2 linked regions of the Cricetulus griseus genome follow. The protein of the gene in region 1 interacts with the protein of each later gene in a pairwise test. Links are inferred from orthologs where the notes say so. Each region holds a gene or a part of one and is shown in the gene's direction. Other genes may lie near its edges.

Region 1 (3,898 bases):
CTGATATCCTAGTACCTGTTCTCTCTGTCTTTCCACCTGTGGTTCATGCTGTTTCCTGAGCCTCGGAGGAGGTTTTATGTTGTAGATATACCATTTGGGGCTTAGGACCTCAAAGTTGCTCATTCTCTTCAGTTTTATTAGTTGGGGATCTTTGAAGTAACCTCCATCTATTGCAAAACCAAGCTTCTTTGATGGGGGCTGAGAACTAAACTTATCTTTGAGAATAAAGAAAGACACTTAACATACAGTTAGATTCTATATTGATTTAGGGAAACAGCAGTCCTACTCGAGGGTCTGTGTCTTCTCCACCCTCTGATAGTTGACTAGGTTTACAGTACCAGGCATCACTTCTATCTTATTGAGTACACCATAGATGGCTGATGATTATTACCATTACCAAGATAAAAAGAACTATTTAACCTTTGGGGATATCTTAGCAGGCCAAGTATTGTTTTGCTTTGTAGACTTTCCAGTTGTATAGAACTGTTGATTACATTTGTCTGTTGTCAGGTTGCATAGCATTTTCTGATACTATGAGTGTTAATCCTCAGAGGGAAAGCTTTCAGGTCAGTACTGGTTCAATTCCTTAAGGTCTGTATGGGAAGTGTATGTTATCTTCAGAAATATCGACTTCCTCTAAAGTTGTAGGGGTGTAGCCAAGGACAATGGAAGTATCTTATGTTTGGTGTTTCTCTAAGTCCCTTGACCAACAGTTTGAAGGCATTCCTTGCCTGGCTCTGGAGTAATTGTTTAGTAATCAATTGTTCCTGCAGGGAGTGTTATTATCCATGTGGCATAAATCCATTAAACACACACACACACACACACACACACACACACACACACACACGGACAGTTCCTAGCTCTGGATACATAGATTTGCGTATGTAGTTTGGCATAACTACAGAAGTTGGGAAAGTAAAGGGGTGTAATGATTGGAGAGGAAGAAAAAGAGCTTGTTGTAGGATACAAGAAGTGCATTAAAAGGGCAAAGGAGAAAATACTGAAGGGGAAGATATATATATATATATATATATATTATTATATATATATATATATATATATGTAGAGAGAGAGAGAAGAGAGACAGAGAGACAGAGAGAGAGAGAGAGAGAGAGAGAGAGAGAGAGAGAGAGAGAGAGAGAACAGGAGAGGGAGGAAAAAGGGACAAATAGCACTAAAGGTATTTTAAAAAGCCACAGGGAAACATTTTGATTTTATTATTTTTTCAAAAACCTGTTATATTTGATAAAGTAGTAGTAACAACTAAGTACTTGTTTTCCAATAGAAACTTATTATTCATTATTTTTATTAATCTTTCCCATAGTTTCTGAATCGGAGATTTCCCAAGAAGCTGATGACATGGCTATGGAGAAAGAAAAATATGCTGATGAATTGAGAAAAGCATTGGTTTCAGGATCAGGATCTGACACATACAAATTCATCTTTTCTAGAGAGTCGTGCCATTTCTCCCTTGAGAAAGAACTGAAAGATGTCTCAGTAAGTACAGCTTCCCACAAATTTGATTTTATTGATGGATTTTGTTTCACATTCAAGTAGCAGTTCTATTATTCTTAGAGCACTTCGGGAAATAAATACCAAGAAATTAGTTGGTACACTCATTAATATGCCTCAAATATATGTAAAATGCGATTCTATGTGTGTTTTCTGTATGTATGGATGTGTCTGTGCATATGCATGCATGAGTGTGTGTGTGTGTGTGTGTGTGCTGAATCACATATGTGATGGCCAAGAGGACAACTTTTGTGAATCAGTTCTTTCCTTCCCCAAGGCCTCTGGTGGTGGAACTTGGTCCTTCATCCTTGTTAGCAAGCATTTTTCTTTGAGCCATCTCACCAGCTCACAATGCTTCAGGTTTAAAGTTCATGAAGCATTTCTTTTAATACATTGTGAAAAGTACTCTTCAATATTTAAAATACTTTAAGTATTGCAGTTAATAACATGAATGAACAATTTTGAAAGAAGTGAGATAAAGAGTTTTAGACTATTGCATCCTGACTTGCTCAAAAGTAAATATGGGAAAATACAGAATTTCAGAAAGAAAGCAATACTTTTACCTTTAGCTATTCAGTAAGTGATTTGTTTTCTTTCTTAGATATCTTAGAAATTTTGTTTTATTATATTGTTGTTGTTTAATGATTCTTAATTTATTATTTTATGTGTCTTGGTACTTTGCCTGCATGTGTGTCTGTGTGAGGGTTTTGAATCTCCTACAACTGGAGTTACAGACAATTGTGGGCTGCCATGTGTGCTGGGAATTGAACCCTGGTCCTCTGGAGGAGCAGCCAGTGCTTTTAACCACTGAGTCATCTCTTCAGCTCCCTATATCTGCAATTTTAAAACAACATAGTTAGGTATAGTAGTACATACGATTAATGACTAAGGGAATATTATTTATATTGTCATACTTAAAAATAATGAAGGAGGGCTAACTCTGTGTCTCAGCTTTCCAAAGGTTCCATGCTTTCTAGACAAGCATATCTGCTGTTTCTGTGCAGTTCTGACTAAGGTTCTGGCTACTTTATTAGACTGTGCTTACTGTCTTTACATAGTGCCCAAATTAATTAGACATTAAATTTGCTTTTGCTCTTGGTTTATTAATCATAGATCTACATCTTAAGAAAGGGGAAACTTACTTCATTAGGCTCATTGATAGTAATGAAGAATTTGCTTTTTAGATAAATCCAATTTTTAAATGCTCTTAAAGCAACCTTTTAAACTCCGAATAGTAAAGCGGAATTATCAATCTGAGAAATCTTTGAAGAAATAAATTAAATTATTTTCAAATATGTGTTATTTTGGAGAATAATGTATAATGGCTGGCTTTGTAATTTCAGTTTAAGGGATACATAGTCACAATAGCTACAATGCATATTTTTCAATATATTGCAGTTATTAAAATAATAATTAAAAATAGGTGAAGGAGATCTGAGTTGACAACTACAGTTTTATTAATTGTGTTCTTTTCTATGGCCAATGCTCAATCAGATGATATTAAATACATAACAACTGCTGCCAGTTCCTACTCGTATTATGAAGTGGAACAGGGCAAACTAAGTAGTAGTAATTCCTATTCAGCAGACATTTGTTTTACATAAATAGTGTTATTTTGTGATGACACTTGTCAAGTTAGTGAGAAGCTTTTGGTACCTGTGATGTGGTGAAAGGCTGGGGCTCAGCAAGTGCACTGCTGGAGGACTTGCCCTGGCTGCTTGGTAGTTTTGCTGATTCTCTGAAGAACAACCTCTAATTCTTCATTAGTTCCATCATTACAATTGGCTTACTCTGTATAAGAATTGAAGACTAGCAATAATCCTGAAAAAATTCTTGTTTTCCATCATGAAATTAATCACTCTATCAAAATCAAGGTCTTGAATACTATGCTTTCAACTGATTGTTTGTTTGATTGTTTGTTTTTCTGAGAAAGGGTTTCTCTGTGTAACATCCCTTACTGTCCTGGAACTACTCTGTAGACTTGCCTGGCCTCAAACTTATCTACCTGCCTCTTCTTCCTGAGTGTTGGGATTAAAGACAGCACTAACATGCCTGGCTTCAACTGATTTTTACTAGTGATTTAACAGCATAAAAAGACTCAGGAATTTAGAAGAGTCCTTAGACAAATGGCCTTCAACCATCACATTGCAGTTTAAATGGGTGTCCTTTTATTTATTCATTGTGTATTTGTTGATAAGTTTATTCATGCCTGGCTTGCTTGAGAGAGATATTTTGGACATTTAAATGAGGCAAAACTTTTCATGCTAAGGTCAGCTAAGGATGCAGCTGAAACATTGACAAACATATTCTATTCGGTACAATACTGGGAATTTTCTAGTATGCCATGTGTTTCTGCAAACTGATTTCAGAGTGATACCATCAT
Region 2 (3,898 bases), on another chromosome or scaffold:
TTGTTTTGTTTATTCCATTTCATTATTGTTGCTATTAATCTCTTAATGTGCCCAATTACAAATCAGGCTTTATCCTAGGTGTGTGTTGTGTGTGTGTGTGTGTGTGTGTGTGTGTGTGTGTGTGTGGGTGTGTGGTGTGTGGTGTGTGTGTGTGTGTGTGTGTGTGTGTGTGTGTGTGTGTGTGTGTGTGTGTGTGTGTTAACTGGCTTCTAGCTCCCAGTGGAGATCTTAGAACATCTGTAAGCAGGGAGCAACTCTGTGAATGCTTGGGAATCTCTGTGTGCTGATGTAATCAGCACATCTTTTTTTCCTCTAAAACTTGTGGGTCTGAATACTTTAAATGGCAAATTAAATGTTAGGGTCTCATATTTCCTAATTCAGAGATATCTAAGACAGAATTCTGACAGTTTCTTATCTCCCAAATGCTTAACATTTATCATTACCCAGATCCTAATCTCATGTATGTGTAGATCCATTTCTTCGAACACTAACTTTTTCATGTGTCATGTGTTTTCTGTGTGAAAAGGGTCACAGGGATATGAGAAGTACCCCAAAGCTAAGAGACCTTGAAAGAATCAGTAAGACTTGCTAATTGATGTGCCATGGAATGGAGGCCAGCATGAGAGAAGGGAAACAGCAAACCTTGGACTATAGTGCAGGTGATCAGGACAGTGGCCATGACACTCCACATAGTAGAAACATGAAGAAAGAACTAGGTCCCTTTTTTTTTCTTTTTAAAAAGTTAAACAGGTGGACACTCATGACCACATAAGATAATGTAATATAGCATAGTATCAGCATTAAAGCAACCACACTAGAGGCTGAGTATTTAACTTCTCATTTGTAGCCCTTCTGAAATGCTGGGTCCATAGATTTTCTACATGTTGCAGCTAAGGGTTTGCATTGCTTGTGTATTGTTCTGTTGCCACCTGCCACGTTTCTTCTGTGTCTAGCTAACATGAGCCCTTACTAGCGTTCCACACATTTTCAGAGTGCTAGAGCTTTGGCACAAGACAGTGAATGCAAGAGAAATCAGTGCAAGGAAAATGCTGTCATATCCCTAGCTGTCTTACTTTCTGATGACATTTAAAAGCTGTCAGAGAGCCTGATGCAGTGGTGTGATAAAGTGCGGCAGATGTTTACAAGCTGCTTTTCCAAATGTGTTGGCACATTAAAAAACAAACAAACTAACTAAACTGCGCAGTGGTGGTGCATGCCTTTAATCCCAGCACTTGGGAGTCAGAGGCAGCAGAGTAATCCTATCAGGAAGGGGCAGGGCATAACATAGCTGACTGGGGTGAAGGTCTGGCAGCATGGTGTTATTAGGGACCCTCTATTTGATTCTCATGAGCCAAGTTAGTCACAGGGACCTCACAGTGTGGACAGTTAGACTAATAAACAAATGATCACTTTAGTGCCCATTGTTATGTGGGATATTATTTTAACTGGGCAAAGATGTGTTACATTTGTTTATGCTGTGAAGTATTACTCTATGTAAAGGTGTGTTACATTTGTTTCTGTTGCATTTGTTTAATTATGTAAAGATGTTGCTGTTTCACCTTGTCTGCCTAAGGCACCTGATTGGTCTAATAAAAAGCAGAACATCCAATAGCTAGGCAGAGAAAGGGTAGGTAAGGCTGGAGGGCAGAGAGAATAAGTAGGAGGAGAAATCTAGGTGTGTGTTTATGTGTGTGTGTGTGTGTGAGAGAGAGAGAGAGAGAGAGAGAGAGAGAGAGAGAGAGGAGTGTGGTGGAGAAAGAGAGAGAGAGAGAGAGAGAGAGAGAGAAGAATGAGAGAGATGAGAACAAGGGAAAAAGAGAGGGACACACCCAGGGTCAGAAGCCAGGCAGGTGCTAGCTAGCCAGACATAGAGACAGCAGGAAAGTAAGATATAAAGAGAGGTAAAGAGCCCCGAGGCAAAACATAGATCAAGGGAACAGAATAAAATAAGAGCTAAGAGGAGGCCAAGCATTCATAACTAATAAGAAGTCTCCGTGTCATGGTTGGTGGCCCAAAAGAGAAATCCTGCTACAGCCAGTTCTAACACTCAAAGTAGTAAGCTAAAGATTAATTAATTCATGCCACAGGGAGACATTTTCCAACAGATATCCCTAACCCCAGTTGTAGTGGTTGATGTGTTGTTTGCAATACGCTGTTTTTCAGTCCGAGATAAAGATAATGATGACGGTGGGCACCCCAGTGAGAATGACCTGAACGACAGCTTTCTGGAAGACGATGACGAGGAAGAAGGATACGAGCCGACAGATGAGGATTCTGACTGGCAGCCAGAAAAGGATGACGAAGAGAAGGAAGATGTGGAAGAGCTTTTAAAAGAAGCAAAAAGGTTTATGAAGAGGAAAAAGTAACTTTTCTGCAATAATAAAACTCACATTTGCTTTGCCTTTATGGGAAATGTCCAGAAACTGAGTAGTAACCATTTTCTTTTAATAGCTCTTCCCACTTGAAACGTTGAAACACCAGCCTTTAGTGACGTAGGTGGAAGCCATGTTGTTGCCTGTTTGGTGCCTATTAGTTCATCTGTCAGTGGAAGCAGGTACAGAGGTTAGGCAGCGTCTGATACTTTTTCATATACTTTACACACTGCTAATAAAAGCCATAGTTAGTACACACCTTTGACCTTCGAGGTATACCGTGCAAGCTTAGCTAGGTGATTACAGGACAGTGGAGGGCATAGAGTCCCTCACAAAGCTAGACTTGAACAAAGTGACAGCCAGTGCAGTGTCTGTTATTTTTCTAATGCATTAGATGTGGCTTTGTGATTTCATTTACTGCCCTTGTCTGTTGAATCCTGGGGAAATTATTAACAACCAGATGCTGAAAATGATCCTGTTAAGCTGTGGGGAAGCAACACTCACCTTGCAAGGAAACGTTTTCTGCACACCCCGCAGCTGTGGTTGTCTTCACAGCACACCCTTCCTCATTACTTTGCTTGCACTGTGTAGCTTTACAAGTAGGATGTCCAAAAGCTTCCAGCATAGTTTTCTCAGACGGTCTCCTCTGAAGAAGCCTCTGCTCCAAGTTAGTGGGGTACATCTCCTCACTCCTGTCCTTGAACCGGGCTCTCAGTAACGCTTCGCTTTAGGCAGCTTTGAGTTTCTAGGAGCTCAGTTTTCACTGTGAGTAGAGTCTGTGCGCACAGAGCTGGAGCAAGCAGCAAGCGCCTTGTCATCCTTTAAGAGGAAATAGAAATGTGCCCGATATGTTTTCTTAGTCTCTGCATGTAATTGTATAATTTAAATTTTACTTAAACCGAAGAAAGACAAAATAAATATTTATACTTTTCTCAGATACTTTGACTTCTTTGCAAACTTGTTTTTCCCTTCTGTTAGATTCTCTAGAAGAACAGAACCGATAGGATTATGCTACAGGGGGATTTATTAGATTGGCTGACATGGTGAGGGCTGGGTAGTCCTTATGGCTGTCTTCACCCTAGAGAGGCGGAGGACCAGGAGCTGCCCAGTAAATGAGTCCCAGTCTGGCGCTGGTGGCCTAGAGGACTCCAGAGAGCTGCTGATCCTTGTCAAACTTTTGAAGGCCAAAAAAGGGAGATTCCAGTGTTAGTGAAGGAGGCAGGAGTGGGGTTGACGTGCTCACCAGCAGGGGATGAAGGTGGAGGCAGAAGCAGCATCGATTTTCCCTCATGGCTTTAGATCTGTATTTAAATCTGTACCTTTTGGTGGCAGCCCCCCTGGGGGGAAGGGTCTCTGCCACTCCCCCAGATGACCCTGAGAGATACCTTCCCAGACCTGCCCAGAGACACATGCCTTAGCTAACCCCAGATCCAATCAAGTTGACAAACTAAGATTAACACTCACACCTTCTGTTGTCTCTGTATTCTTGAGGTCCTCTGATACACTGGTTTTTTTTTTTTTTTTTT

The links. The genes of interacting proteins can lie anywhere in the genome.
Region 2: the proteins of DNA repair protein XRCC4 (region 1) and Aplf interact in binary tests that used the Homo sapiens proteins (3 or more experiments, as listed by UniProt). The link is inferred for Cricetulus griseus from reciprocal best matches to the Homo sapiens genes XRCC4 and APLF.

What each region holds. Positions count from the first base shown.
Region 1 is NC_048595.1:308,960,611-308,964,508, reverse strand, and holds part of DNA repair protein XRCC4, read left to right. Parts: intron 1-1,327; coding exon 1,328-1,500; intron 1,501-3,898.
Region 2 is NC_048601.1:55,693,502-55,697,399, forward strand, and holds the end of Aplf (aprataxin and PNK-like factor), read left to right. Parts: intron 1-2,163; coding exon 2,164-2,366; 3' UTR 2,367-3,311; downstream 3,312-3,898. UniProt on the Homo sapiens protein: Histone chaperone involved in single-strand and double-strand DNA break repair.